Drosophila melanogaster: one gene and its partners. The protein of the gene in region 4 interacts with the protein of the main gene of each other region in a pairwise test. Each region holds a gene or a part of one and is shown on either strand. Other genes may lie near its edges.

What was found.
Region 1: the proteins of CG15435 (region 4) and CG12868 interact in a two-hybrid assay, tested with the Drosophila melanogaster proteins (one large-scale study listed by BioGRID).
Region 2: the proteins of CG15435 (region 4) and Tim9a interact in a two-hybrid assay, tested with the Drosophila melanogaster proteins (one large-scale study listed by BioGRID).
Region 3: the proteins of CG15435 (region 4) and CG10209 interact in a two-hybrid assay, tested with the Drosophila melanogaster proteins (one large-scale study listed by BioGRID).

Annotation. Positions count from the first base shown.
Region 1 is NT_033778.4:14,602,721-14,610,210, reverse strand, and holds CG12868 (uncharacterized protein), read left to right. Parts: upstream 1-4,913; 5' UTR 4,914-5,010; coding exon 5,011-5,044; intron 5,045-5,105; coding exon 5,106-5,575; 3' UTR 5,576-5,662; downstream 5,663-7,490. Other genes in the region: Su(var)2-HP2, read left to right, coding at 1-2,313, 2,378-2,794; CG33468 (uncharacterized protein), read left to right, coding at 3,252-3,282, 3,350-3,837; CG33469 (uncharacterized protein), read left to right, coding at 4,036-4,518; tra2 (transformer 2), read left to right, coding at 6,112-6,227, 6,710-6,863, 6,922-7,050, 7,335-7,490.
Region 2 is NC_004354.4:13,379,262-13,386,393, reverse strand, and holds Tim9a (Tim9a), read right to left. Parts: upstream 1,185-7,132; 5' UTR 1,058-1,184; coding exon 998-1,057; intron 895-997; coding exon 799-894; intron 734-798; coding exon 602-733; 3' UTR 501-601; downstream 1-500. Other genes in the region: Ype (yippee), read left to right, coding at 1-50; Rbp1-like, read left to right, coding at 1,706-2,094, 2,771-3,125; CG1640 (uncharacterized protein), read right to left, coding at 6,813-6,961, 7,024-7,132. UniProt on the Drosophila melanogaster protein: Mitochondrial intermembrane chaperone that participates in the import and insertion of multi-pass transmembrane proteins into the mitochondrial inner membrane.
Region 3 is NT_033778.4:14,843,605-14,852,796, forward strand, and holds CG10209 (uncharacterized protein), read right to left. Parts: upstream 4,763-9,192; 5' UTR 4,599-4,762; coding exon 4,596-4,598; intron 4,368-4,595; coding exon 4,212-4,367; intron 4,161-4,211; coding exon 2,814-4,160; coding exon of another isoform or gene 2,727-2,813; 3' UTR 2,460-2,726; downstream 1-2,459. Other genes in the region: NaPi-T (Na[+]-dependent inorganic phosphate cotransporter), read right to left, coding at 1-39, 104-345, 417-549, 609-1,061, 1,116-1,361, 1,478-1,692, 1,824-1,833; SMC2 (structural maintenance of chromosomes 2), read right to left, coding at 5,068-6,505, 6,559-6,752, 6,809-7,078, 7,136-7,563, 7,620-8,349, 8,412-8,723, 8,783-8,950.
Region 4 is NT_033779.5:4,456,524-4,465,155, forward strand, and holds CG15435 (uncharacterized protein), read left to right. Parts: upstream 1-3,205; 5' UTR 3,206-3,454; coding exon 3,455-3,610; intron 3,611-3,680; coding exon 3,681-5,036; 3' UTR 5,037-5,223; downstream 5,224-8,632. Other genes in the region: RpL27A (ribosomal protein L27A), read right to left, coding at 858-986, 1,217-1,534, 1,766-1,768; mRpL27 (mitochondrial ribosomal protein L27), read right to left, coding at 2,481-2,684, 2,743-2,906, 2,961-3,009; CG15443 (uncharacterized protein), read right to left, coding at 5,301-6,040, 6,101-6,437; Paris (parkin interacting substrate), read left to right, coding at 7,323-8,363.

The DNA of each region.
Region 1 (7,490 bases), on a different chromosome or scaffold from region 4:
CCCATGTCTGACAGTCAACGAAATGCTTCTAAGGAGCGCTTTACGCCTGTTTCGGACCAAAAAAAACCAATCAGGGAATCACAGACTTTATCAAAGCGTCGTGCACGAGGTGGAAGGAACCAGCCACTTGTTTCAAAAAGGAAAGCGGGTGAAGCGGAAGACGGTACAGCGGTGATCAATCCCAAGAGACCCAGAGAGATGGATGAAGAGGACCACCCACAACAGAATGATCATGTCCAAGAATCTGCATTTGCTGCGTTCCCAGTAAAAATAACAGCTGCTTCTTCTGTTATTCCCCAAGTAGTGCGTTCTACGGGTAATACAGTTCCTCAAAATATTAGTCCCCGCAAACTTTGCGTGAAAATAAATCGGAGGCCCTATAATAAGTGGCTTCGGAGCACGCAGGAGAGGAATGAAGAACAAGAAGGATCTCGTAATGTAACGTCATTACCACTGCTTGGTGAAACCTCGGAAACGGATTCAGCGGCGGAGTCGATGTCAGAATCAATTCTGCAATCCCAAGTACAGTCGGAGCCTGCTATTCAGCCACTGCCTGCATCCCAGCCCGATTCTTGTACATTACAGGCCTCAGATCTCCGAATAAGGGAAAGCTCAGCTCAACTTGCTCCAATTGCAGCTTATGATTCACCGGCAGCTAACGATTCATCGACATCACCCGCTTTAGACATCGCACCCGAAAGTGCACAGACAGCTAAAGCAACCTTGAACACTGCTCTCTGTCCATCGACTGAAAAACATCTTCCTGACGAACCAACGTTGCTGGAAAGTTCCAAGAAGGTTGCAGAACCGCAGAAGCTACAAACGTTTCAAGCCAAATGTTTGCCTGTGCCAATTCCAGAGGTAAAGTCAGAGCCGGAAGATATCATGGATGAGCATTCACCTAATGAGCCCATGCCTATGGTTGCTGCAGCACCAGCAACACCTCAACCACATGCGATTACGGAAGACGCTGGGCCCGACACTATTCAAGTCAACACCTTGGGTGTTTCCACTTCATCTAGGCCGCTTGAGTTACATTCAATTCCCTCCGCCAGTGACCCTGACGGAAACCCCAATGCCATTGGGCAGACCAAGATGTACTCATTTCTCTACCCGAAACGTTACAAGCAATCCTATGACGACGTCGGTCTAGACTTCTGCTGTCCAAATCTCGATGGACCAATGCGGGCTATTGATTTTACTCGATTGCATTCGAAGGCCGAGGTACCGGTGCTGGAAATCCCGCAGTTCCTGGTTATAACCACCAAGTTTATCTCTAAGGCGGATAAGAATATGCCAAGTAAGGTGCGGGCAAAGCTGGAATTACTGGACAAGTCGAAAGAACGGGATTCCAGTAAACTGACCCCGACGGCTACCACTCCGACTGCTGATCCCACCGGTCCTTCATCCTTTTCACCTGCTCCCGCTTCGGTTGGTCCGGCAACTCAACCGTTTCCATCGATTATACAGAATTTGCTATCGGCTCCCCTACCTGATCCAGGTCTATTTAATCATCCCACAACCGTGGACCCATCTACTTCCACTCCCGTAGTTTCAGGCAGTTCCTCTTCCACTACCATTTCGGCGGACTTGGATTCTTTAAGCAAACAGTTGCCACGTGGCACAAAACTGATCAAGAAGTCAGTGCAACAAGTGGCTACCAATCCCTCATTAGCCGGCACCTCGATGGTAATTAATGCGTCGCCGTCCTTTATTCAGTTACCTCCGATTTGCCCCAACGACAAGCAGCGCGTGGAGTTGCAGGCGAGGGTTCAAATGTTTGACTTGGTGCTCCAGACCCTCAGCCGGCGGGCAGCCAACTTATCAGTGGCCGAGCGACAGCGTACCATTGAGGAAATTGTAAGGACCAGCTCGTTAATGGCCATCGACGTGGATGTGGGTACAAAGCTTTTGGAAAACTATGTACATTACTTAAACAAGGCTACCAGCACAATGACTCCTCTAACCCCGGCCCAAATCAACTCGAGCTTAGGCGCTTCCACCAGCTCGACGCTTTCCAAAAGCATAGCCACCTCCGACATCCCACAGCAAGGGAAGAAAATATCTGCGGACCATGCCCAACAGCGGAGTTCTCTCCCCGCTACCATTCCCCTTTACGATGGGGGCAGGAACACACTTGGCTTTCCGTATAGCTGCTCGAAATCGACGGCAGGGCGAAAGTCTTCATATGTTGCCACCAGCACGCCTGTGAAAGCCTCCACATCCCAAGCAGCAGCAGCAGCAGCTCTAGGAAACGCTCAGCCAAGATCCACGTTGGGGATCCCGAAAAGTGTTCGGGAAGACGCTAGTCAGGTAGTTATTATTTACGACAAATATTTATGTGGTCATTAATAAACAATTTATTGTTCCTAAACAGTTCGTTAATCTCAACACAACAGTGTGTATGCCAGCACCAAGGACGAATGCCAAGAAAAAACCAGGGACTTCGGGCCCTTTAAAGTCGATGAATTCTTCACCAGCTGTGCAGAAACCGGCGCTGTGCAAACAGCAGACGGCGCCGGCAAGAACTCTGTCCAAGAGCACAGTCTCATCCGTTGCACGAGCGAAATCAACAGGGTCTTTAAGTGCAGTGTTGGGTGAGACTCCTGCTGACGAATTCGTATCCCCCGCCGGAATGAGTCTGAGTACCACCGGAAATCCGAATGTCTTCATCATTAACCACGCGGTGCAGTCAGAGGAAAGCATCCTGCCTGACTCCAACAGCAGCGTAGGGCACATGGAAACGACGGTGATCAAAGGCGAGCTGGATGATTCTGCGGAGATTATTATATAGCAGGGCAAAGACTATAAACCAGTTGGAAAGTATTCTAAGTTACTTTAGCACAGTTAATTAAGAGTTAATTATTTCGTTGAACGCAAAATCATAATTTTGTAATTCTGAAATGAAGAATTTGTTAAACCTTACGCAGCATCGTCATTTTTTTTTTTTTTTTTTGAAATAAATGGTTAAATATTTTATTCAGTGTGGGACTTTCAAGTAAATATCTTATAGTTATCATTGCATATTTATTAAGTATCCAAATAAAATATAAATATAAACATTCTAACATTTTTTTATATAAGCCGAAACGCATAAATCGTGTAAAATAAGAAATAAGAAAAATTACATTTCGTTCGAAGCTTTTGGAGCCATTGGCGAAATCTTAAAGCTCTTGTGAAATATTACAGAGCGATAAGTATAAAAGTTGCGCAGGGGAAAAACCGTTTCTATTAACAACAAATTTTTCAAGATGACAACATCTGCTGTTGAAGCTCCCAATAGTAAGTTTAGTTAAAACTTTACAGAGGCATATTATAATGATGCACATATGTATATAATAATCTACAGGTGCATATCCCGATTTAGAAAAGCGACTGGAAAGGTATTTGCGAAGTGTGTTTTGCCTAAAGGAAATCGATACTAAAAATGAGTACATTCCAACCGAAGTGGAGTACTTTGGAGTTCTGAGTTTAAGCGATGTTCGAGCGCCTCGCCGAAAACTGTGGTACATGTACTATGCGACAACAGATCAGGTGGACAAAACTGTGGATCAGATCCATCGTAAATATGGCCAAAAGAATATGTACGAGCTGTTCAGAAAACCGGTATATACAGGGGCTGGAATGCGATCCCGTGTTAAGAACCACTTTAAAGGGCTTAAGTGGCACGTAAAAGGAAACATTTTGGAAGCCCCGCTAGGTAGCTCCCTTAATGATGAGAAAGTGGTTAACACAATTGCAGATTTATATCAGAACGAAAGGAGAAGATACTTCGATTACCTTATGTCTAGGAGTAATCTGTATAAATCGTGTACATATCGAAACATAAATGCATAAAATATTTTCATTTATGTATAAGACTTTCTAGAATAAAGCTTTAAAATAATAAATGCCAATAAATGCTAACCAGTATTCTTTTAACGCTTGTTGAGGTAGGAAGGCAAAATTGCCGCACACTTATCAATGGGCAAAGCCTATGAATCACCTTAAGTTTTCATCTGATTATATTTCTTAATAGCAGGGAATATTAGCAACATGGACGATAAATTGGAAAAGTACTGGAGACGTCTATTTTATATGAAGTCAGTTGCAGAACCTACGTCGTTGGATGCTGATACGATAGAATATTTCGGAATATTCAGTATTGACGAACCAAATGTCGCTGCCCAAAAACGGTGGTACATTTATTATGGCCTTAGATTAGAAAGGTTAAAGGTTCTGGAAAGGATTCGAAAGAAATATGGCAATAGGAATGTCAGAGAAATATTTCAGATCGCCACATTCAGCGGAGTGGGATTTCATAAAGTCGTCAGAGAATATTTCTCCAACTTAAAATGGTTCACAAGCAGAAATCAATTGGAAGCTCCACTAAATAGTTATTATAATGATGAAAGACTAGTGAAAACTGTTTCGGACTTGCATAACAAGGAGCAAAAAAGAATCTTTGACTATATAATGATACAACACGCCTGGTTTGAGCGGTATAATGATCAAAAACCACCTCCTGCTAAACATTAAACTAACTAAAAACATCGACTTACAGTCGACATCTGTTGACTAAAAGCGGCATGTGTATTTGTTGATAGGGGGTATTATTATACATTTTACAACCTATTGGTCAAGTTAAATGATTTATAAAAATATGTCGAATAAAATATATACACACACAAGTAGCTTGCGGTTATAATATAGTAGTACATAATAGTATATACCTTGGAGTCTAAAGACACAGTCATCCGATCATCCTAATCAACAAACATAAACACCCTAGTTGTCTGCATTAATAGGTATTAAAAAGAAACAAGCGCATTAAAAGCTCACTGTTTTTTGATAGGCCACAGGGTTGCTTCAAAAAGCTCTTTTGTTGTGAAATTGGAAATCGTAAACAAAACGAAACAAACTTTATACAAATCAGTTGAAATCGTATTTGTTGGGTATTTAATAAGAGTGCGTAGGAAGTTAACACGCATTCAGAAGTCAGAGAAGCAAGAGTCACCTCGTTATTAAAATATGACAACGAATTCAGTAACTGATAAGAACACGGGTAATTAAAACGGCAAATTATTTATTTGGAACATCAACGATGATTAACAACCGATTCGCAGAAGGAGATTACAACCTGGATGAGGAAATCGACAGCCATTTGAGAAAATTGTTCTGTCTAAAACCAAAAGCTGAAACACCCAAACTCAATCCCTACATAGTAGAATTCTTTGGAGTTCTTAGCTTGACAGATCTCCGTGCCCCACAAAGAAAACTATGGGTCATATATCACGCCAAGCAGCCTGATCTGGACAAGACCGTTGATGAGATCCACGAGAAGTATGGCAAGAAGAATATGTTTGATCTGTACCGCACACCAGTTTTCAGTGGAGTTGCTCTGCGGGACAGTGTGAGAAAGCACTTCTCGAACCTAAAGTGGTTTACGACGGGAAATCTCCTGGAAGCCCCACCTAAAAGCCACTTCAACGACGAGCGAGTGGTGAAAACCATCACGGATCTGCATCATCTGGAACACCAGAGACTATATAATTATGTGATGGTGAAGAATATGTGGTCTATGCGGTATCGCTAAACTAACCTGTGATTTAGGATTAAATTTGTATATGACTATCTAAAAGCAAGAATAATAAATTGTACTATTACAAAATCCATATAACATAATGGTTTGCTAACCAATCAAATAGTATTGTTTTCTTGTAGTACAAATTTTGTTTATTTTCCTATATTTCGTTGAATAAAGTACATAATAATTATGCTGATTTAATTTGTTAAATATATTCGATAACATTAAATAAATTCCGCTTGTGTTTTTTTTTTCTAAATGGATGACAACGCCGCATAAGGGTTAAAGTGCCAATCGATAACGCACGTCCTCACCTATCGCCACCCCTGTTGAAGCGTGCGTCTTTCTAAACGCAGACAGAATAAATAAAACCTGCCAAAGGCTATCAATTAATTGGTAAACACTGATTGGGTGTGCAATATAGCAGGGAATCAAACCCTCAAAAATGGTAAGAACGGCAATCCAAATAGTGTGCACCCATTCATCTTCTTTTTTCGCCACCATTGCTCCGATAAGCGAAGTTTCGATAGGTAAGCAAAAAGCCAATGGATCGGGAGCCACTCAGTAGCGGGCGTCTCCATTGCAGCGCCAGATATAAACACAAGCGATCGGCGTCATCATCGTCAGCGGGGACAACTTCATCCGGACACAAGGACCGCAGGTAAATGTGTACACACATATGTGAGACGACCCTAAACGATACCTCTTTTGACATGAAGCATCGAGTAGTTTTGACTGGCAGTTTGGAAAAAAGGTTCAACTGTCATAGGGCCCTTTCATTTGGATTTGCCCCCTCAGCCGATTCAGCTGGTGCTCTTGCCAAGAAAGTTAAAACCAAAAATCATTCAAGCCGATTTCATTTCATTGGAAGAAACCAACCAACCAACCAACCAACCAACGAACATCACTATGTAAGAACCCACCGAAGCAATCATTTTCATTCTACGTCCAACTACCAAAGAATTTGGCCGAAAGAGGTCGAACCCAACCGTAGCATTTGTCAAGTCACACAAATTTTCCAACTGTCAGTTACCAAGGCGTGCAAGAACCACCCGAAATCCACACGAAATACAAAACTTTTCAAGACCCTCAAGAACGAACCGCAAGATAATCTTATTTCATTCCATTCCACATCGAATCAAGGTCTGACTACGATTACTGTGGCAGTCGCCGGCACCAGCGGTCCTCCTCTCGCCGACGCTCCCGTTCGCGTTCCTCCTCGGAGTCGCCGCCACCGGAGCCGCGTCATCGCTCCGGACGTTCATCACGCGATCGCGAACGAATGCACAAGTCTCGCGTAAGCCATTCTGCCGATTAATGCCTCCTTTCAATCCTAAAGATCTTCGGCGTTTCAGGAACATCCACAAGCAAGCCGCTGCATAGGAGTCTTTGGACTGAACACAAATACCTCGCAGCACAAGGTACGCGAGCTGTTCAACAAGTACGGACCTATCGAACGCATCCAGATGGTGATTGACGCACAAGTAAGTCGGTTTTCGATAAGCATTGCTAAGATATTTCCTGCCTGAATCCTTTTGTGTAGACAAATCCGCTGAAGCCCTGCAGTTTTGTCTTAATTTCTGGCTAGATAAAATTTGATAGCGATTGTGAGTTTTTGTGTATTCCAAACTAAAAGCTAAAGGCTTGCTGTCACAGTGGCATATTGTTCGAAGGAAATATTGATCTCCCGAAATCAATATGTGTTCAGTTGTTAGGAAAGTTCAAGTTCACAAACGTAGATTAACCCTTAATAACTTCTGACATACAGACACAGCGTTCCCGGGGCTTTTGTTTCATTTACTTTGAGAAACTCAGCGATGCCCGCGCGGCTAAGGACAGCTGCTCCGGAATAGAAGTGGATGGTCGCCGTATTCGCGTCGATTTCTCTATAACCCAACGGGCTCATACCCCAACTCCGGGTGTG
Region 2 (7,132 bases), on a different chromosome or scaffold from region 4:
TCACAGAGGCAGAGGGCTTTCCGTCGGAGGCCGCCACCACGAGTCATTGAGCCGATTGAATATACAGCCGGAAAACGGGAACCACGCATTGGCGAACCTTGTGTAGCCCTAAGTATTGAGTAGATGGCCACAGGCGATGGCCTCTATGCATTAGACCTAGATTAGAGATCGCCGTAGTCGGCTCCGGTGTTCGGGATACCGAAGACCGATATATCGGTTGCACATCCGCCACGGAGCACATGCGACTACGGCCCTGTCTTAACGTGACTTAAACGTAATTGTAGGCACATCTAGCACGTAAGCAGCTGCGGCGCCCAATTCTACCATTTAAATGTCATGAGGCTGAAGTGCTAAAACGAAAAAGATGGGCTGCTACTCAGCTGGAACATATTCGAAACTGATGATCCACACTTGTCTTTTTCAAACAAGATCTCTAGGCCGTAATCAATCAGCAATAAAGTACCACAATAATCGAATAGTAGATAATAATCGTCGGGATTCCGTCAACGCGTTTCTTTACTCAGCTATTTTGACAAATGCAGGAAAATGCATCATCTCAGTTGTCTAAACTAGTTAAGATTGTTTGTAACAGCTATAACACCTAAAGTTTGCCAGTCTTTTGAGCCATGGCCAGTGCGTTCTCGTGGGCAATAACCTGGAACTCCTGGAAACGCTGCGAGACGCGTTGGTTCATCTTCAGATACTTTTCCATGCAGTTCAGCGAGCACTTCTCCTGTGAAATGGATGGGCATATTGAAATCGCTGATTTCCACATGGAGCTTCCCCACGGGCACTCACCTCGGAATCCTTAACATCCCGCGTTGTAAAGTCGCGTATGCAATCTGTGAAGCACGTCTCGGACAGTTTGTTGTAGGACATTAGGAAGTCGGAAAACTGAAAGTTAGAACCGAAAACATATCAAATGAAAACCACATTGCATCACTTGGCACCGCCGGTCCTTGGCATGAGATGGTATCTTCGTGTCAACTCTGCTTACCGTCTTAATTTGATCCTTGTCCAACTGATCGATGGCTATGTTTTCCGGTGTCTTAGCCATTTTGTTCTGCGATATTTTATTCAAAATTGCCGAAACGAAAAAGGGCCAATAATAATGTGCCTATATAATAGGGACAGCTGGGTGTGCAGGGTTGCCAGATGTTAAAAAGCCATTCCGTGTTCTCGACTTATCGATATGTTATCTTTTGAAGTATGTTATGTGAAGTATCTGGTTCGGCCGACTCAAAAATTAACCACATCTAGTTTTACTCTTAACATCGGGTATATGAAATTAAGCAAATGTATCCATACATAAATTAAGGTATATTTATAATAATACTTTAACTAAGTACCCTTAGGTTGTGAAACATTTAATTTAAACTATTAAATAGAATAAAATGATATTTCAAAGATCGATATTCCTATAAAATATCGATAGTCGCATATCTTATGGTCAGCGCTTTACGGTACTGCACCTCGTTCACTTTTCAACACTGGAGGGCACGCCATCTTTTTTTCCTCACAAACACTTTTTTCTGCTCCTGCTTTGTGGGTGTGCTCTTTGAAAAACCAAGGAGAATTCCCTCGGAATAGCATCAAAACAAACTGGAAAATTGACTTTGGACAAGTCCAGTGGTACAACAAATACCAAAAATCCATTACAGAACCGGAGGAGCAGCACCTCCAGCCACATACATATTCATACATAATGCCACGCTACCGTGAATGGGATTTAGCCTGCAAAGTTTACGTGGGCAATCTGGGATCCTCGGCCTCCAAATACGAGATCGAGAACGCCTTTAGCAAATACGGACCCTTGCGCAACGTCTGGGTGGCCCGCAATCCGCCCGGTTTCGCCTTCGTCGAGTTCGAGGATCGTCGCGACGCTGAGGATGCGACCCGTGGCCTCGACGGCACCCGCTGCTGTGGCACCCGCATCCGTGTCGAAATGTCATCAGGCCGTTCACGAGAGGGTCGCGGCGGTGGCGGTGGAGGCGGCGGTGGTGGAGGCGGATCCGGTGGCGGCGGCCGCGGCGGTGGCAGTGGCGCCCGTGCTGGAGGCGGTGGAAGGGCTGGCGATGGCGGTGGACGCTATAGGTGAGTACGGCACAAAAGCATTACATTTTGCATCCCCAGAATAAACCAGATAAACTAACTAACCAACCAACCAAAGCACCCACTTACTACCACTACCCCTCTCTCGAGATTATGAAATCATAATTTTTGCCATTATGTGCAAAAAAGTATGCAAAAATATATATATAAATAAACATATGTATACATATTTATATAGCGTGTGTGCTTGTGTGTATGTATGCATGTGAAAAATCGATTCGCGTATACATACAAAAGCGGTGCCAGCCAAAATACACACAGTCACACATACGGTGGGACACCACTGTTAGCCATACATAAACACACACAGTGGCGTCCGTGAAAAAGAACAGTCCTACCGCGCGCACACAGTGGCGTCCGTGGCCGACAGTCCTGGTTGCTTTTGCTACGTCAATCGATTCTTTTTAGCTCGTATTTTGTTTTTTAAGGGGAATCTTGTTTTAGTATCACATTTCATTGCTCATTATATGCACCCCGAGGTCCATAGTTTAAAGTTCAAAGAGTATAGCTTTAACTAGAGAAAACGTTTTGTTTGTTGTTTTTAGTAAAATTACAAAATACAAGAAAAATGAAAAGAAAATACAAGAAAACTTAGTAAAAACAAAGTAAATCGATCGCTTGGAGCCAGTTTTAATGTGGTCTCACAATCATTTTGCAGGATAAAGTCTTCTTCTTCTACTACAACAAGCACAACAAGAACTACTACAACAACAACATCAATAATAATAATAATAATGATAATTAAAAGAACAACAAAGAAAAAAGAAAAAACAACAACAGCTACTACTACTAGAACTTCTACTACTCCTCTTCCTTCAACAACAACAACCAAAAGAACAACAACAACAGCTACTACAAGAACAACTAGTACAACAGCAGATCCTGCTCCTCCTATTACACACATTTCACCAACAACAACAACAACTACAGCCACCACTACACCACCACCATGCAATAACAATTTGTTGTGCGGCCCTAACCAGAAATTCAACAAATTCGATATATTCCGCTGACCACAAAACCAAGAACCAGAACCAAACCGAACGACCGCAACACTACCACACCCCCTCCACCACCTGTTCAGCTCAACCCAGGCAAAAAAAAAAAAAAAGAAAAACAGAACAGAAAAAAATGAATCATCAGCAACGTCTTCGGCTCCGCAGCTTCAAGAATAATGCACCCAAAACCAGACCGAACACCACCCACAGTCACCTAACTATACATTCCACTATGGGGCACACGACTAGCTACAAACTAAAGAAAAGAAAACGATTTAAGTAATCTTCGATCTATGCCTATTTTGAATAGGATTTAGCTGCTAAACGTTGGTCTTTTTTCTTTGTCAAATAACAGAATATTGCTTTGGAATATAAATAGGATTTAGCAAACGAAGATGGTCGTATGCCCCACAGTGCATTCCACATTTCCACATCATTTATAGTCTGTTAGTTGGCAACATCTTCAGGCTACACAACAGACACACTCACACAAACAGCCATTAACCACACTAATCACCAAGAACCAGAGCGAACCGATCGTCGGCGGCAACAGAGCAACTTCATCAAGAATCCAAATGCCAAAATGCATCTATTGCATATTTATATATATATTATACACACACTCACCAGTCCAGCAACGCTTCAAAAAGTCAACTTCCTACGTCTCCAAGTTGTGCGGTTGTCTTCAGCCTGCTCCTACGTCCCCAACAAACCACCCACCACCTCATCATCCGTCATCTTTAGTGCAGCTACAGCATCAGCAACAAGCTACAGCTACAAAGACCAACTGCAACAACAGCTTCTACTTCTACTACTACTACTACTACTACTACTACTACAACAAGAACATCTGGCAGCCAGTCAGCAAATCGATCTCGAGGCTGAAAAGCCTTTGGTAGACTTTTTGTTGGTTCCACCACTCAGTAGTTGCACCTTTCCCTTGCAATCAAACCAAGATTGAGGCTGCTTCATGCTAATTCCTTCAATCGCAGCAAGTATGAAACCTTTGGCCGCCACCAACAACACTGTCCCTCGAACCGAAACGAAACGTAACGTAACGCCTCTAACAAAATCCGTTTGTTATACTCGTAATTGTAATTATGGTTGTTTTTTTTTTTACCTTTTGTTCTTGCATCCTAACATCTACTGAGATAATCTTGTTCGCGCTAATTGTCTGCTCTCTGTGTGTAATATACAAGTATATTGTGTAAATGTGTGTTTATATGCATTGATCCGATCAGCTCGAACTCACAGTCAGACAGTTCACCAACAAAACGACCCCACCAACAATCGACCAAAGCACCAGCAGCATCAGCAGTTCAGGGCAGGGCAGAATCTTCTTCAAGCTCGCAACTTCACAGCGCGGATGGTAGGAGCTGCACCGCCACCACCACCAAACCACAACCACCAACCTGATCCTCTCTTGCTGCTAACTGATGCTTCCCCACCAACTGCTTCTTCATACGACCTACGTTCTTCGGCTGCTGCAACAGAATAGAATGATTCACCAATATATCCACCAACAACACACACCAAAAAAAAAGAAATAATAATAATAATAGAAACACAACACAGCCACCCTAGTCACAGTCAATCAGCTCAGTATCGTATCAACAACAACAGCCCAAACTACAACAGTTCAACAAGAACCTACTACTACTACTACTACTATTACTACTACTACAATTCAACAACAACAACAACAACAGCCTTCTCAGTCTGCTCTGCTCATCAACCAACTAAGCAACCTACCAACAAACCAATCAGCCACCAATCCAACCAACCACCACCAATTACTTTATGTAAATGTCACACCAACGCTTTCGTTAATGGGGCAAAAAAAAAATATATATATATATATATATATCAGCTATATCTCCACCACCTTCAAGCACCTTCAGCCACCAAAAAAAAAACTGAAAAAAATTACTGCCAGCTCTCAGCTCCGCTCAGCTCAAATTAAAGCTCCAATGTCAGCTCTCCGATCCGTATCCGATCCACCAGATCCGTCAGCCCAAGTTGTGTGTTGTTTGATCGAGACCACTCTTATCAACTTTACGTATCTTAAGGAATTGTTATCTAACTACACGACTAGTTAAGTTACTCATTGGTGCAAAATCTATTTAATTTGTATTTTCTCTTTCTCTTTCTCTTTCTTTCTCACCTCTCTCTTTCTGTGTCCTGTATGTGTGTGCCGGGCCCAATATGTTTTTCCCCAAACGCTACCCATTTCATTGCAGATCACGCTCACCCCGCCGCTCAAGGACACGCAGCCGCAGCTTTTCGAGGGATCGTCGCAGTCGCTCCGACTCCAGGGACCGCCATTAGATGAGAAGAGTAGTAGTGGGATGCAGCCCAAAACTGGACTCCACAACACACACATATATATAGATATATATATATATTATACATATACAGAGATATATACATAAAGTAGTACGGCCCCAGAGTTGAGGACAAAAAGGATCTGTTTTGCCAGACGAAAAATGGCTCAACAGATTTCTGAAGTTTGACTCAATAAATTCGTCCCCCTCCATATAATAACCCCCCCCCCCCCACAGAGAACAAAACCAAAAAACAAAAAAAAAAAAGGTATCGAGCAACTTCACAAAAGACCACCACACAACCCAGCCATCTCTTCGATCCGAATGGTTCGCTAGTATAGCCACAGTACAACTATGGTACACATTGGTTTTTAGGCCTTAAGACTTTGGTAGATTTTAATTCAGAAAATGAAAAGATAAAAAGAACAAGCCACCAGCGCAACTACAACTACAACACACAAAGAGTGAGGCATCCGATGAACAATGGATGTCAAAGGTAAATTTATTGTATGTCCGCGAACCTAAATTATTTATCCACTTGGTTTTTACCCTAAATCTGTCGCAACACAAAACATGTCAAGAGAAAAGTGAAAAAAAGGTACTATATGCGATTGTTTGGCGTAAGTGCAAGTAGTTACATAAGTCGTGAAATGAGAATCAATAAATTGAACCTAATTTAAAACCGAAAATATACACAATGGGTGTTTTTAATGGGAATGTCGGGATTTTCAGCTTTTCTTAAAAACAAATTACAAAAGGATACCCATTGCCCAAATTGAAATTAACGCAGCGCTGGCTTAACAATAATAATTATTTATTTATTTTCAAAGTTTCTTCTTGTCTATAACAATTAGTAATGACTTGAACGCACACACATCATATGATTTTCGTGATCGATTCGCGGGGGATAAGCACATGCAGGGCTATATATATTTATGTGTAGATAAATATAAATATACACAATGCAAATAACTTTCGTTTAGAACAATATCAGAATTTTCAATTATGCGCCGACCAAAAGATGGTAAACTACTTTTGGTTCTAACAAAAATTATTGTCAAATCTCCGCCAGGAGTTTTCGTTCAATTAAGAATCAAAGACTACATGGTTAAGTGGGTTAATTGCTAACTGGAAACGTTATCGTGGCGATAAAACCTGCGCGGGTTGGGTTCACAAATCATAGGGTTTTAAAAATGTTTTTATATATTTCTCATATATATCTATATATGCATATAAAGAAGAGCTTAGAAGCATTCAGCTATGACACAGTAACAAAGAGGAAAAAAAAAAAACAATTAGGGTAATTTAAATTTTTAATCCTAAGCCGGAGGATTGACACTTAACACAGGGATCGAGGACGGGGAAGTTGGCAGCTGATCTACTTGTACTTCTTCATGAACTCGGCGTGGAACACACGGAACTTCTCCATCATCAGCTTCAGCTTGTCCGTTTGCGGGAGGATCGTGCTTCGGAAATGCCACGTGCCGGGCTTCTGACCAAATCCACTGCCAGGAACAATGCAAATGCCTGGGAGAAAATTAAACAATAAATTGAGAGACTAACAAACGAGGTCAGCAAAGAAAACTCACCGCTCGTCTCGAGCAGCTCAAATGCGTAGAAAACATCGGGGGCCATGCCCTTGGCCTTGGCCGCCTCGATCGCCTTGGGCGGGATCTCGATCTGTGGAAAGACGTACAT
Region 3 (9,192 bases), on a different chromosome or scaffold from region 4:
GGTGAGCAGGAACACATTCTTCCAGGCATCAATGGTTTGCTTTAAAAAGGGATTATTATACATGGAATAAATAACTCCTTTCAAAGGCAAAAATACAACTTACATTATTGTGAGTAAGTTGGCCCACGATGAAGGGCGATATGAAGCCCGGCATTCCACCAATCATTCCACTCACGCCCAGGACAATGCCCGCATAGTTTGGCGACAGATCGACCATGGAGGCCAAGGGACCCGAGGACACGGCGCCGTGAAGCATGGTGGCCACTGTGACCAACACGATGGCAGCCGTCGCGTTGTAGCCAAAGTAAGCTAGTGCTAATACGATTAAGCCTTTAGTGCCACAGCCTAGAACAAAAAAGAGTTTAAATGCTATTAAGGCTGTACAAAATATCTAAACAATCAGAAGTAATACTCACAAATGAATGTGGCCAACTTGCGGACATTTGTGCGACTCATCTTATCCGTGCGCAGAAGATAGTCGGCGAATATGGAGAAGACGTAGGCGAAGAGCATTCTCATAAGATGCGGCAGTCCGGACAGGAAGCCAGTCTGAAAAGGAGCAGGCAATGTGTAATACTCTTGACCTACAAAATCTATTAAACACTTACCGCTCGAATGTTCCAGTGGTGAATCAGTCTGAAGTAAGTCGGCGCATGGGTCATCAAAGTGAAGAGACCCCAGATGCCACCCCATTGGGCGACCACATTCAGCCAAACGGGACGAGAGGTGGCAATCGCCTTCCAGGGTGTGGGTCCCTTGCTGCCCTGAATGGAGGCACCCAAGGACTTCTCGATGAACTTTCTCTCCGAGTCAGCGATGCGGGGATGCTCAGCGGGACTATCGAACACAAGGAACTGCCAGGCGATGAACCAGAGAGTGCCCACGATTCCGCAGATATAGTAGACCCACTCCCACCGTGTCCAATCGATGATGTAGCCGAAGATCGGATAGAACAGGGCCACGCCCACAGAACTGCCCAAGTAAGCACTGACAAACTTGCTGCGCTCGTTGGGCGGAATCCATTTGGCAGTGAGCACGTGCATCGATGGCCAGGCCAAGCCCTTTAAAATTAAAGATTTAAACTTTCCATCAAAATCTGCTCAACGATCCCTTACCGTTATCCACCCCTGGAATACTCGCAGGATAATCAAGCCCGTGTAGCTCCAGTACGATACGATTGGTATAAGGAAACAGCAGAACACACCGATGCCATTGGACCAACCAAACACCAGTTTAGTACCATATTTGGTGGCCAAGATGCCGCCGGGAATCTGCAGTGTCCAGTGGGCCCAGAAAAATGATCCCAACAGAGCGCCCTGCTGCTTCTCGTTCCAGTGAAATCCATTCTTTTCGTACGGAATCTGCCAAAGATATAGTGCACACACACGTTACTCATACGCCCCGTTGTTGCACAAGCTCCGTCACTTTGTGGCTTTCATTAAGCACTTAACCAGTGATTCAGCGATCTGATACTCACATTCGCCCAGTCCAAAAACCAACGCTCCAGCGAAAATCGTTCATTCATTTCCGCAAGGGCAGCCAAGTCCGTAGAGTTCTCGTGGGTTTCATTTGAGGTAATAGCACCCTTCCCGGCAATCATGTCCACAATGGTAATGTTCAGATTGATCCGGATCATGTAGTTCACGATGAAACCGATGAATGTCATGTACCACAGCACAGTGCGCGCCTCGACTAAAAAGATCAAAGTAGAGTACATGAAATGCGAGCTCCCAACTTGTGGTTGTTCTTCATTTGGAGGTCTTAAACAAGATCTTCGACTTCGAGTTTCGAGGTAAGACACGAATTTCAGATCATTCTCGTACCTTGGCCCATGGTGAATGGATTGACTGGTTGAGAACTTCACTGGAAATTTGAACTCTGCATCTGCAGGAGCTGCCGCCAATCCCTGTGATTCGATCGCTGACGATCAACTGCTGCTGGCAGCTGCCGGAAAAGAATGCCAGACCCAGTCTGCCTCCAGTCGATCCGCCTGTATCTGTATCTGTATCTCTTTATCCCAGCCGGACGCCACTGATAAGCGCCGCAGATCTGGCGGACTATGCTGCAGCTCGGCTCGTGATCGCTCATCAACCTGCCCAACATGCGACAGACAACGACGAGTTCGGCGATCGGCAGCGCTCAGTTGAAATTCGCACTTAGGCAGACCGGATCAGTCAGCTGTTTGACTATCTTTATGATATGGCGTGCTCCCTGTGGGTTTCGTTATCGCGTTACGAGAGATGAAGACTAGATATTCCTGAAGACAGCTTAACGACGGACCGCTTGCCGGATTTACAGCTTTTCAAAGTCCAAACAAACAAGATTGTGGATTCCACCTCAGAGCTAAGCCAATGACTTCTCCGATTTGGCCAGAAAAACAAAAACCTGGGAATAGGGAGCTCTTGCCAGAAGTTGGGGATCAATCATTTTACTTGAACTAAAAAACATCCACAGTTTTTAAGATTCAATTATATTTGTATTTACACCGAAAAAATGTATGCGTCGCGATCTATTGAGAACTTGAGTCACAGTTGAGCTACGCTGTTATTGCCACGGGAACATTTACATGAGGATCACGGCATCCACTTACTACAAAATGGCATACATCAGGAGTATCTTCCTCATTGACTGCACCATTTTTGACTGTAGTAGTGTAGTGAGCAATGTGTACTTAGGTATAGGCTAGCATAAGAATGAGACCTACGAATTGCCGTCTAAATCGAGGGCTAACAGCTGTGCGCGTCTGCCGTCGTGGGGGACACCGTCGCAGGGCGTGGTGCTCCACAAGTGGCTTCCCACAGACGGCTCAGGACTCATCCGACATTTTCGTAGGACATTGGAGGCCGTTCGCTGGCGGTCGATCCGAAGATCGTTGGCGGATGGTGTTGCTGTCCCTGTTGCTGCTGCTGGTGGGGATGCTGTTGCTGTTGCTGGTGGGGATTGTGGCCATGCTGGTGTTGCTGTGCGGTCGGCTGCTCGTTGCGAAGCTGTCCCAGCGGAAACATGATGTTGTGGGCCATCTGGGGGTGGTGCAGGTGCTCATTGGGTGGCGGTGGAGGCGGTTGCTGGTGGGCAGCATGAAGGGCCTGAGCGGCCTCCACATGCTTGCGTTGCTCGCTTTGCTGTTGCTGTTGCTGCTGATGAACCTTCTCCACGCTGTTCTCCTCGTACTTCTTCTGAAGTTGGAAAAGAGGCAGCTGCTGGGAGGTATGAATGGGCACAGCAACTGCGCCTGCAGATGCTACTCGCTCTACCTGTGATTGAGGCGATGGTTCACGCTCGCCCTTTTCGTATTTCTTTTGCAACTGGTACATGCTGTGGGACAAGTGAGTAGTCACCGTGCTACTGCCACTGCTGCTAGAGCTGAGTTTTGAGGAGGTTGACGTAGAGGAGGGCGCGGGCTTCTCCGCTTTGACAGGCGACTTCTTCTGATACTTCTTCAGTATCTGCATTAGTTCGGACTTTACATCAAGGCGTATCTCCTCCGGAACTCTCTTGATCTCTTCGTACAGGGATAAGAGGAACAGCTTGTCGGGATCCCGGTTCTTGCGCTTCTTGCTCTTTTTTGGAAATGCATCCTGCATGAACTGCAGAAGCTTCTCCTCAAATGGCGACTCTCTGGATAGTGATCCACTTCCATGCTGGCGCCTCAACAGGTGTGGATGCAAGCCACCGTGAAAAGCAGGGTGCTGGAGCATTCCGGAGTGGGATTGACCACCGCCGCTATGCTCGCCTCCTCCACCGCTGCCATTGTGCGCCTGCAACTGGGATACTGGGTGTCCCTGATATGAGCCACCATTGCTTGATCCAGGAGCATCATTGGTTTCGCCATCGTTGGTGTGATGATCCTGCTGCTGCTGTTGCCCTGCATGCGATTGCGGATCCTTCTGGTGCTGCATATTGTGCTGGTGATGGCCCACTGCTGCCGTGAGAATAGCATCGCACAGATGCTCCGGGGCGTAGTCCAAGCCGGTCAAGAAGTTCTCCGCCTTGAGCTCACCATTCATCTCCTCGTAGAAGTACTCGGTGCCCACAATGTCGATGATATCGTTGTCCTCCTGGTTTAGTTCGATCCCCGGTGGTGGAGATCCTCCAGAGAGTTGACAGCGCTTCAGTTCCGCCAGCTTTTTCCTTGTGGTCAGTCGCATATCGCGCCAGCACTGGAAGAAGATTAAAGTTTATTTTTGGATTTAATAGGCAAGTAAACGCACCTTTTTCCACTGAATAATCGTCTTCTTGGGACCAATAGTATTAAGGGCCGCTTGGATCTTCTCCCAATACCACTCCTTCTCCTTTTTGCCCTCCATGTACTTGGTTTCCCGCAGCAGTGTGATGAGCATCTTCTTCTGCGGCTTGGTCACTCGATCCTGGAAGAGTAAAACGGTTCATTAGCAATCCCACATTCCAATGAATGAAATTCCACAAATCGGTGCTTTTCCCGCCTCGAACACCACTCCAATTGTTGCTATTGTTTATCCAAATGCCAGCGGTGTCTACAATATTTTGCTGCTCCCCGCACACACACACGCACAAGTCGTGTGTGTGTGTGGTAAAAGAATCGGACGATTCGTAATTTTTGGAACCTTGCAAATTACCATGGTGAGCTTTTGAAGCAGTCTGCGTTGGCTCGAAATCTTGATGTTTTGTTTTTCAACCGCCGTCGAGTTTTTGCTGCTGAATTCCGGGGACTTTTGTTTAATTTTTCACTCCCTCAAACATTGCTGTTGCTGCCTTTCGTTCTTCTTCTTCTGTCCGCTGCGTATGTGTGTGTGTGCGTTTGACGGTCTCACCAGTTTGACGTTTCGCCCGCCCGGTTGGAAATCAGCTGATGCGCAAACGACCGTTACAAAATTAAATTTGTAGTTAAATTACTTATTTCGTTGATTTAAGTAATGTAGCAATAAGTATATTGACCGATGGCTCTTGAAATAAGTATATTGCTGTAATACACAACCTTTTTTGCGAATTAAAAAAACTTGAAAAAATTCACAATTAAAATGATAAGAACAGTTTTATATGGTATTTTTAAAGTTTTATTAAGTGATAAGAAAGTAAACGAGTTCCATTTCAGCGTTTGTTGGTTGTCGCCTGTCTGCTGACCTGCCGGGTGATGGTGGACACACCCTCCTCGAAGAGAGTGCGGAACAGGACGTTGGCGTGGTTGAAGAGACCATCCTTGAGAGACACAATCAAGAACTGCGAGTTGGTGAAGTGCTGCTTCAACATACTACCTATGTTTTGGGTGTGTGACATGTCCAGGGCAGCGTCCACCTCATCCAAAATGTACAAGGGAGCCGGAGAGAACTTAAGCATGGCCAGGACAAGGGACAGAGCCACCAAGGACTTCTGGCCACCAGAAAGTTCACCGAGACTCTCCTTCCATATGCCATTGAAGCCGACTTTAATCTCCAAACCGGTCAGACAGCCATTGGTATGGACGGGATTGAGTTTCGCTTCAGCACCCGGTAAAAGGGAGCTAAAGATCCCACTGAAGTTCGTGTTCACCTCGGTAGCGGCTTTGTTCAGCTGATCCTGCTCTTCTTCGTCCATCTTCACTATGATTTTCTTAATCTTCTCCTTGTCCATCGCCACAATGTTTCGCCGGCGCTCGGTCTCCTTGAAGTTCTCTTCCTCGCGATCCAGCACCATGATAGCGTTCATGTTGAGAGTGCGTTCCATTTTGTCCTTTTTCTCCTGCATCTTTGCCAGCTTGTTGCCTGCTTCGTGGGGGTCCTCCTTGCTGTAATCGTACCGAGTATTCTTCATGCCAAAGCAGTTCTTCTCCTCCGGAATCCACGGATACTTTGCCTCAAGGGCTTCCATCCGTTTCTTTGCCTCTTTGGCATCCGAACTGATCTTTTTTTGTTCGTTCTCTTTTTTCTTCACCTCCAGCTCAATCTCCTGATTTTCCTTCAACATTTTCTCCTTCTTGACCAACTGATTTCGCATCTCCTTGTTCTGATCTCTCAGTTTATCTTTCTGCTCCTTAATCGCCTGTTCGAGCTCCGTCACCTCGGACGCGGCACTGGAGCTATTTACTTTCAGAGCGTCTAGCTCGGCCTTAAACTTTTCGAGGTTATCAATCATTTCCTGGTGCTGCTTCTTTGCAGTTTCGATACTTTTCTGCAGCTCAGTAATTTCCAATTGAAGAGTTTCGAACTCCTGCTCTCGCTTTTTCCAGTTCGCACGAGATTTCTCCGCCCTTTGCTTGGTCACCTTGATCTCGTTGGTGGCTGCATTCAGCTCTCGCTCGCGATAACCCTTTGCATCTGCCAACTTCGCCTCGATATCCACTATTTTGGCTTGCGAGGTCTTCTGCTTTTCACGGGAGTCAATTATTTGCTGCTCTAGGGTCTTGACCCTTTCCCTCATTTCTTCAATTTCAGCCTGATTCTGTTGAAAGGTTGTTTGGGCCAACCTGTTCTCGCACATGGTTAGCTCGTGCTGTCGCAAGTCAAGATTTTCCTTCATTTTGTTGAACGCGAGGGCCTGGTTTTCAATGGATCTAAAAACAGATAGGCGTAAGTATTGGCAATGAGAAGTTACTGGTTCACCTACGCAATTTGCTTTTCCACTTGGGCTATCTCAGAGTCGATCTCCCTGTACTCCTTTTCTATTTGCTTAATTGCGTGCAATTCTTCTAGAACGTTAGCACCTTTAGGAGCAGCACCTCCAGACACTGTGCCATGGGGATCGACGACATCTCCTTCCAAAGTCACAGAACGACAATTAATACGGGGGTCGTAGCTGATCTAGATAAAAAAAATGCATTTAAAAGATGTACAGAAAAAGAAATATATATACTCACTTGTTTGGCTACAATGAGGTCCTTGCAGATAAGTGTTCCGCCAAAGCAAAACTTCATGACAGGCTCGTAATAGCGGTCATAGTCAATCAGTGACATGGCCCATTGGACATTCTCGGCGCCCACTTTGTTTTGAGCGTATTCTACCACATTTCTGTTTAGCGAACCAGATTGAATCTTGTTGATGGGAATCAAAGTGACACGACGCTGAAGATTGCCCCTCTGCAAGATCTTCTTGCTAGTCACATCATCGTCCGTCACGTAGCTATATAACTAACATAGAACTCGTGATTAAAGAAATAACTTTTCAAATCAGATTTAACAACTTACACTTCCGCCGGCTGTCTGGACTAGAGCCATGGAGTTTTGCATGTCTTTCACCTGGAACAACTTGCCTACCAAACCACGCACCTTACGCCGATCAAAGTTTGGTTCTGGGTCCTGGTATTGCAGATCATAGCGGGAGGCATTGCAGCGGTCCAGCTCTCGTTTCAGATCGCGCTTTCGCATGTGCAGATCATTGCGTCGCTGCTTTAGCTTCTCGAAATGACCGCCCTCGTAATCGAGACTTTGTAGCTGCCGTTCTAAGTTCTTAATCTCAACCACCAACTGATCATGCAGCTTCTTATCCTTTACATAGGCAGCGTCGTTGGTCTGGGTCTCACCCTCACGCTGTTTCAATACGCCACGCGTATGACGCAGCTCGATCTCTGAGGTCTTAATGGTGGTCTGTGCCTCGCTGAACTGCTCCTTGGCCACTAAAGCGGGAATATAGGTAATTAAAATGATTTAGTTTCATCCCCGACAGACATACCTATCAATTGTTCTTGCAGTGTTGAGGCTTCTCCGTTTTCATTGGTGGAGAGTCCCTGCGAGACAGCCTCCAGCTTCTTTTGGGCGTCCTCATAGGCTTTTGAGTCCCTGGCATCTGCCTCCTTGAGGCTTTCAAATTCGCCTTGAACCTTGGCCATGTCCGCTTCTTTTTTTGCCAGGGCTCGTTCATCATCCTCAATGTTTTTGGATGCCATGCGAATTTTCTTCTCATCTTGCTGAATCGTTCCCTGGGCCGCCTTCAAGCTACCCGTAGCGGTAGCTTCTAGTGCCCGCTTGGCGCTGAGCTGGGTTTCGAGATTTTTGATGGAGCCACCCATCTCTGCATCGATCTGTTGCTGCATCTCCTTCACGGAGTTTTCAATGCTCTCGACCTCTGCGAGGTTCTTGGCGTGAGTGGCCTTGCAGTTCGCTATGCGATCCTCGATTTTGTGCTCATTAGCCTCCACCGTCTTGAGGGTCTCGCATTGCTTGAGATACTTGGCGGAGATGTGAATTCTGATGAGGAAGTCTATGTCGCGGCAGATTTTCTGATACTCCTGGTAGGCGGAGCGTTCTTGGCGCAGCTTAACCAGCTTTGGCAGCACCTCCTCGTCGAGCAAGACCTTGGTCTCCCGCACTTTGGTCTCCTTTTTTTCAATCAGGGTTTTGGTGGCATCTCGCTTGGTTTTGTACTGACTGGTTCCCGCTGCCTCCTCTACCATTGACAGAACCTTGGGGAAATATCTATGTTAGATGGAGAACTATTTATGGTTGTGTTTTTCTGGCTACCCACCTCCTTGGGCTTCATATTTAGCACTTGTTGGATCTTGCCCTGCATGATCAGGAAGTTGGGATTGTTTACATTTAGCTGGATGGAGCAGAAGAAGTCTTGCACCTTCTTGTTCTGCACCAGCTTGCCATTGATGAGGAACTTGTTCTTGCCTCCGACAACCACCTGGCGCGTCACAGAGATCTCCCGGCACTTTTCGTAGCCCTGCGGACACTGGGCGGGATTTGTGTTGTCAAACACAATGGTAACAGTGGCCTTGGTAATGCCCGCCTGCCCATTCTTGTACACCAAATCCTGTAGAGCCGAAGCGCGCACCTGGTAGCACAGAGATAAGCGTTGAAGTCCAGCCCCAGACATATCCAATTGGTACTCACATTCTGGAGATTACTAATTCCCAGTACGAAACAAATGCTATCCAAGATGTTTGACTTGCCGGAGCCGTTTAGACCCGTGATAGCCGTAAATTCTGGATCGAATCCTTCTATCTCCGTGCGCCGGCCATAGGATTTGAAGCCGTCGAGCACTAGTTTCTTAACATACATTTTTATGCTAAGCGGTTTTTTTAATTCCTGGCGTTCTTTTCGTTAAATTCCGCGTCAAAAATTTGCCGCAATTAGTGTGACCGTGGCACGGCATCTGAAATACATATCGAAATGTCAGGGCAGGAATGCTTTCGATAAAAGTGCACCTAGTGACGAAATGCAATACAAGGCAACAATTTAAAAATGCTATGAACCCAATTAAATTCAGCTAAAATACTTATGTATGACTATACAAATTTAAC
Region 4 (8,632 bases):
CAACACAGAGGTCATAATCAAGTTACTTTGTTTTTACTGGAACATCCCCCGCCCACACAGGCATGCCCTCCACTTTGACTACGTTTCCTGGATTCGGTGCCTCTTGTTCGGTCGTGTCCTTGACCCAAGGTCGCCGCACCCCATCACCAACAGCAAGGTCAAAGATGGAAGTTGCCCTCATCCCTACGGCCTTGACCTACACGTAATCTGCTTCCGCTTTTTGCAATATCGGGCGTCTCGTACTTTTCCGCCTCTTCCGAATTTTTCCGCGAGCTTTCTGCCCGCCGCTGTGTGACCGTAGCTGCGAAGGCGCAAAAAGCCTAGTCGAGAATAGTGCTAAAAATGGAGGGATTAACTGATAATGCGCACCGACGCAGTTATACTCTTTAAATTACTATTTATTTTCTTTATATTATTACTGTTCCTCTTAAGTTACAAAAATAGGCATACTTCTAATATTGTCAAACTCATTTAAATTTGCCCTTGTTATTTGATTCAAAATACAAGTTTTCCTTTGCCACAACAAACTAACCATATAGAAATTATTCTTTATAAAAATATAAAGGAAAGTTGTAGCAGGAATAGAAATAGAAAGTTCTAAACAACTTGCGCCAAGCGAGCAGAAAATGAAGCCCCAATACCTTTTAGTAAACACATTTTGTCGGAATAGCAAATACTTGTTTTTCTTTTAAATTTATTAAAAAACAAATACATTTTTGATGGTCGAATGTAGTCCACTTGCTTTTTTCTTCTGTAGAGGAGGAATCTGCAAGGGAAACAATAGCAATTAGGATACTGCACTTCATTGCTTCGCCGACGAATAGGTAAGACAGCTAGACACACAAGCTCACCTTAACTTAGGCGCTCAGCAAGCACACACCGCCGGCCTTCTTGATCTTGTCCTCAGCCTTCTTAGAGAAGTACTTGGCCTTCACGATGACGGGGCGGGCGGGCAGGTGACCACGGCCCAGCAGCTTGTAGTAGCCCTGTGGAGACATGAGAAGGACACCAGAGTCAATACAATGGGTTACAACGGGGTGAGAACGGGTGCACATCCTCTTCAAGAACTGCTGGCTTTGATCTGAAAGGCTGTCCTCTACACGGTGAGAGCAATTGTACGGTAGCATTCTGTCCGCCCATCGCCTTGGGTGTATCTTCATGTTGAAAGCGGCAGCAGAGTTCGCGTAGCTGGATGGGGAATTCGGGCGAAACTTACGAATTTAACCAAGTCGATGACGGGAGCCTTGGTGCTCTTCTCCTTCTCCAGCTCGGCGAACTTCTCGGCTCCGACCAGGGACCAGAGCTTGTCCAGGTTGATCTCGGGCCTGAACTTGTGCTGGCGACGCAGATGGAAGTTCCTCATGCCCACCTTGCCGAAGTAACCAGGATGGTATTTGTCGAAGTTGATGCGGTGATGGTGCATGCCACCAGCGTTACCGCGACCTCCGGGATGCTTGCGGTGCTTGCCGATACGGCCGTGACCGTGGCTCACATGACCACGCAGCTTCCTGGTCTTCTTCCGCTTGATATTCGACTGTAAGGGAGAGCAGAAAAGAAACGTGTTTTCATTGAGCATTCCTCAATCATTTTCACCCACGTGCTGGAGGTTATGTTTACTTGCTCCAGTCGCTATGCTCACTTGGCCATTGCAGTCAGTGGGCAGGCATGCTGCGGCACTTTGAGTGAGCTCTTATTTCTATTCCACATCATTCGCCTGCCCACAAACCACATTTTAGGTGCACCACATTTACCGACGTCCACTCACCATCTTTAAAATTGTAGGAAAGAAAGAAGCGAAGTTGGCTGCGGTTGTAGCAGTGTGACCGCCCGGCGGCGATAACAAAAAATACGAAATACCATCCGGACAGAAAACATATACCCCTAACTACCATTTTAGTCTGAAAAAATATCTCGTACACACCATTATATTTAAGATAAATTTAAGTCTATATGCATTATGAAAATATATAATCATGAATAATTAAACATAATACTGCATATATAAGCGTTAAATTGAATTTCACTACAACAATACTAAATAAGTTTTTACATTCATAGGATAAAACGTGTACTTGATTTAAGCGAAATTCTGTAGGCAGTGCCTATACCGTCATGTGCATAATTTTATAATTTCTTATAGATGATTATGGCTTATTATTAAAGTTCATTTTACAGTTCAATAGCGTTCGGCTTGGCTAAAAAAGGGGGAAGTGTAGTTTTTGTTTTTGAAGTTCGCAATGTAAAAAGTTTTGCGAAATTAATAATCGAAAATGTTGCATTGATATCTGGCTATTAACTGGATTTCTTTTCAAATTCGGGGCGTGTATTCGATAGTTGGTTCAGAGCATTGCTAAATACAGTGCTGTATAACGGTCGTGCTGGCATGTAAATATAACAGGTGCTGTTAAGCACATCGATGTTAATTGCCAAAAATTCAAATATTCACATTTCCATTTGGTTTAAATTTTGTATTTAACAATCTAGATTTCCTCCACTAGACGAAATCGCTGATGCTGATTTTCGGGCACAACATTGAAGAACTTCTTGTAGATGTTCTGGCCCTGGCGACCGGCGTAGTTCCGCTGAATCCAGGTGTGGTCCCAGTTGGGATCGATGGCCTCGCAGGTCACATAAACCTTGCCGTGCTCCATGGCGAAAAGGGTTCCATTGCGGCCAAAGCCCACCTTTCAATGGGAAAAAGTATAAAAATATGCCGGGATAACTCCTTCCTGCGCTACTCACATTCAGGCCCGGATGAAAGCGCGTTGTGAGCTGGGTGGCCAGTATTGTGCCCTCGGAGACGTGGTGCCCATCCTGGACGCGCCATCCGCGATGTTTGGGCCTCGCATGGCCCTTCTTATTCCTCGTACTTCCGCCGGTTTTCTTGCTGGCATTGCGCACGGTGGCTAAATGGGATTGAATTGATTAGAATATGCAACCGGTTCGTGGGAAGTCCTTACTCATCAGCGGCTGGTCTGCCTTCAGGCACTGCATGGTCAGCTTTTGCATGATATTAAACGACATATTTGTGATTTTATTCCAGTAGCGAGGTTTGTTTATGCAATTCCAGATGGGCACCAGTGTGACCCCCGAGTTCAGCTAGATCAAGAGCATTAACAGACTGTTGGCCACTGTTGCCAATTGGTGTTAATAAAATCTAGCTTTGTAAATATATATCAAATAAATCTACGTTTGTATTTTCAACAGTATTATTTATGCTTAAATAAACTATCGTCTTAGTCATTAATATATCTGTCACGTGTTTAGCTAATAATAATTAATATTCAAAAAATTTGCTGTAATCCTGTTATAGCTAACTGGACATCACTGCCGCAAGTGGGTGGACTGTTGAGTTTTGAACCTTCAGTGGTAGGGCAACACTCGCCGGAGTGTTGAAAATTGTCATTGTTTATTTTTTCCGGCATAAGCATTAAGTTTAAGGTTTGCCATAAGTATGACGTCGTGGGGCAATATCTGCCGCATCTGCAGCAGCCCCGCAGACTACGAGATATTCGCCAAGATTCCCACGTATTTGCACGGCTCCACAAACGAGTTTCTCAACTGGCAAAAGCCCATAAACGTTCTGCTGGAGGAGACGACGGGCCTGAAAGTAAGTGACTCCATTCTAAAGTAGCCAGATAAATGTTTATATGAGTGCCTCCTCTTTCGACCGACCGCAGAACTCCACGGACGACGGACTGCCACGCAACATATGTGCGCCGTGCATCTCCTATCTCAAGCATGCCGTCACATTCCGGGAACAGTGCATCAAGAACGCGCTGAGTCTCAAGCTGGCGGAGCTCTACCAGCAGAAGAGGGTCAACGTTTCGGATGCGAACAAGATGGACAAGGAGAGCGCCCTCTTCACGGCGGAGGATCTGAATTATGTGGAGCAGAGGCCAGTGCATAATCTTCTGCTAAACAACAGCGCCAACAAACTGGAGTCATCCAAGGACAAGGTACACAAGCGACTGCTCAATCAGACGACTACCCAGCTAGACGGCAATGCTGAGCAGAAGATCCAGTACTTAAACGTGCTGTTCAACAAGCAGCAGCCTCACAACAGCATGCCCAGGCAACCGCGGGATGGCGAACTGCCATCGAGCAGTGGCCAAAATGACGACGAAGATGACGACTATGCGGTGGCCAGTTCCAGCGACGACAACGAGGAGGCGGCCCTGCTGCGCAAGCACAAGAACTGCTATAACTACACCGAGACCAACTTCGAGGAGGACGATCCCATGGAGCAGGATCAGCTGCAGCTGCGCGACATCAAAGTGAACATACCGGAGCCCATGTGGAAGGAGCGCAAGTGTCCGGCATGCTCCAAACGCTTCATGTTCGAGGACTCGCATCAGTCGCATCTGGACAACTGCGTCGAATACCAGTTCGTCACGTTTGTTACCGAGGTGACCAAGTTGCTCGAGATTAGGCGACAGAAAATGGTCTCGCCGCACGAGTTCATCCGCCGCATGATATTCGCTCTGCACAAAACTTGCGCCTGGCTGCAGGAACATTCCATAGACTCGCTTCTGGCCGAGAAGCTCAATCAGGTGAAGGTGTCCAACGGTGAGAAGATAGCTGAGCCGCCAATTCCCATAGATATACCCGATCCCCGGCCGGTGCAGGAACCATCTCTATTCGACTGTGCCAGCGGAACGACGACTCCGATCACGGAGGAGAACAACGTGCTGTACGCCATTGAGCGCTCTGAAAGTTGCCATTCCCAGGGCACGCCGACGGTGAAAAAACCCATTCCCATTCGCGGAAAGGCGGCGCTGGGAATCGGGCTGGACAAGCACAGGGAGAGAGCCACGTTCCTCGAGAAGCTGCAACGGGCCGCTGTCTCTCCTGGCACAGTTTCGCAGGGTCCAGCGCCCGTTTTCTCAGCCCGCTGCGGGCAGTGCAATTTAGAATTTGACTCAGTCTCCGAACTGGAGGTGCACAACCACAATGCCCACAGGGGCAATGAACTGAACGCCGACGACGAAGCCAAAAGGCGTCAAATAATCGCCCTCTTCGAGGATGATATTTAGGTTTTACAAAGTCCTGTTTTTCATGCCGGTGGCTCAATCAAACTAGTAATCATGTTGACCACTTTGCATCTGTGTTTTTGTCGTATTGTATTTATTTATTATTTATTTATTTTATTCTGTTTCCATTAGTGATTTAGTTTTGCTTAGCGGCAATCCATGTTCATTTACAATACATTCTCGAGTACTCAAAAGTCCGTGGCTTTATATTTATATGTACTCTAAGACCAATAAAGAGATTTGCAAGACTTATTCTTAACCATAAGCCTATGCGTATATTTGCAAGCTATTCAGTACCAGGTTGGAATCTGCTACCTTCAAGTGCAGACAGTTCTTGAGCAAGCGCATCGCGTCCAGGTTGAGATCTGGATCTCGCAGAGCGAAGAGCTGGTTTAGGGTTTGCACAAGATTCTGCGGGTCTGCCAGTGCGAATATTAGACTTGTGTCACCTAGGGCTACCAGATTGGTCATTACACGCACGGCGTAGATTAGGCACAGCCGGTCGGCTGGCGATGCTAAGGTGGCTTCAAAGAAACGCACCAGGCATTCGGCCTGTTGAGCATCTAACTTGTGCTCCTGTGTCACTATTTCCAGTTGGTGCACTATGTACATGAAGTACTCGCTGGCAGGCTGGCCGTGGAGCTTCTCAGGCAGATTCTGGCCAATGTACCTTCGATCCTCGTCACTCACATGCTGCGGGCAGCGGGTGGCCACCAGGGAGAGGCAGATGGCCGCATCTTCTTGGCAGCCATTGGGCTCGATGTAGAGCCTCCACAGCTTGGGTACTATTTGCATTTGCAGCAATACGCTGCCGGCCTTGTCGCATGTGCCCAGAACGTTGGCCAGTGTCCACAGGCAACTGCGCTTGAGGCGTTCGGCCTTGCCATCAAGGTAGGTGACCATGTAGCTGCCCGCCAAAGTGACAATCTTTTCGGAGACATGGGCCTCGCCCAAGGAAAGATTACACAAGCACTCCACGGCATCTGTCTGTCGTTGAATGTGAGGTCCTGAAAGTCAAGTCAACCTTTTTATATAAAACTAAAGCTAATGAGGGTGCAGTTGGTTACCAGTTAGCTCCTTAACCAGAACCTGAATGGCGCCAGGAATAGCTGCGAATGCATTGATGTTGTCATTGCTCTGGAGGAACCCCAGCGACAAGCGGCACAGATCCTCGGAGGTGGCGTGCTTGCGACGCTTGATCCTGCTGGCCATTCCAATGACGTCCTTGGTGCCCATCTCAAGAGCCGCCACTTCCTGCTTAACCTGTCCAAGTCCAATGCGCAATGAGTCTTTCGCCTTTATGCGGCACTCAACACGGTGATCCTTGGCATATGCACGAATCTTGTTTCGCAGAAAACTTCCCTCCCCAGTTGTCGTCACAAAGTCCATTTGTTTAAATTTCATGGAATCCTTAGCAAGTGAGCAATATTCCGATAATAATAACAGATTATCGATAACTATGAAAGGTTAACAGCACTTCACTCATCAGCTGTTAAAATTGTAAACAAAAAAGGTACGCACTTGTTTGTTTATATTTTATTTGGAGTAAGTAATGCTTATTTAATTTCAGGTCAATGGTGGTAATCTGAGCCCGGAATCGATGGATAAACATATTCAGTGGCACCCAGGAACCCGATTTTTCATATGTGAATTTATTTTTATACTGGCAAAGAAGTTCGGCGAGGAGATTCATTTCCTTTTTGTGCCTTTTTAATTTAATTTTTCTATGATTTCCACGGAAAAAGTCCAGTGCTCCTTCTGTCCAAAATTATTCACCACTAGCTAGGCGAAAATGTGAAAAAACTATACGAAGATAAATGTTTGTTTTTCCAAAGAAATTTATTTCAATTTTATATTCTTCAACAGGTAAAGGATATCGATATCCGATAAGAATTTTCCCATCAAAACTTGGGCTGACCACCACAGGGCGACCCTTGCAAGTTTGCGTTTATCTCAGCTGTTAAATATGGTAAACACACCTTAGTTTCAAAAATCATCATTTTGATAAATAATTTGAATTTCGAACATCGATAATAAATCGATTTAGCATATGGCCCAGAGAATAGGGTGCCCAGTGTACTGTGCACAATGTGAAGTTTAGCTTATTATTATTTTGAATTGTTCATCAAGGCAATCGCATTAATTTTCAATTAATTGGGATGTATGAAACGGATTCCTAAATTATAAAAGATTGCTTTTCCAGCTATAAGCTATTTAGTATATACATCAGGTAAGTAATATAGTCCTTCATAAAGTTCAGCCTAATAAGTATTGTTTATTACAGGGATAATGGCGGAAATATGCCGAGTTTGTATGGATATTTCTGGTAAACTCGTTAACATATTTGACGCCAGACGAAGAACCAGAGTTTCCATTGCCGAGATGATCGCGCAGTGCACCGGATTCGAGGTCAAACGTGGCGATTTGTTTTCGGAAATGATATGCCCACAGTGCTATGAGGACGTAAAGAGCGCGTATGGGATAAGGCAAACTTGTGAGGAAAGCCACCAGTTCTACTGCCGAGTTCGCGATGAAGGCATCGAGGATGCTTTATGCGCCTTGCTCGAAGAAGAAGACTGGGAGATTTCGGAAGACGAAGATGCGCGGATTGATTCTGCATCCGCTGCTGATGACGATGGGAAAAGCGACAGCAAGAAGGTAGCATTCGAATGTCGAGAATGCCACAAGAAATACCAGCGAAAGGGAACTTTTCTGAGGCACATGCGAACACACATGGACGGACAATCCTTCCCATGCCCCTACTGCAAGCGGAACTTTAGACTTAGAGTCACTCTCAAGGCGCACATGAAGACCCACAATGCAGCGAAACCCTACGAGTGTTCCCACTGCGCCAAGACCTTTGCGCAGCAGTCCACTCTGCAGTCGCATGAGCGAACTCACACTGGCGAACGACCATTCAAGTGTTCACAGTGCTCAAAAACCTTTATTAAATCATCCGATCTCCGGCGTCACATCCGCACACATGGCAGCGAGAGACCGTTCAAGTGCTCCAAGTGCACGAAAACATTTACGAGGAAGTTTCACCTTGATAACCATTTCCGTTCTCACACTGGTGAACGACCATTCAAGTGTTCCCACTGCCCCAAGGCCTTCGCTATGAAGCAGCACCTCAAGCAGCACAGCCGCCTGCACTTACCAGATCGTCCATTTCGCTGCTCCCACTGTCCCAAGACTTTTCGGCTGAGCAGCACTCTCAAGGAGCACAAGCTCGTACACAACGCTGAAAGAACATTTAAGTGTCCTCACTGTGCCAGTTTCTATAAGCAGAGAAAAACACTTGCTAGACATATCCTCGAGATACACAAGTGACCACTACTTTAAAAACACTTGGAAGACATATCTTCCATGTGCACTACTTTAAAATGGACAAAAATGATTTTGCTAGATGATAAAATAAGCTAACATATTCATAGGTATTGTAAGAATAAGGCATAAAATTGGTTGGTAATGAATATGCCTATTTTGATATGTTTTATGATGGAATAAAATGTTATTTATATTTGATTGAACCAAAACAAAATTAATTAATCGACTCCCTCTCACGCTGCCAACACTGGCCATTTCTCGCATATCCAACT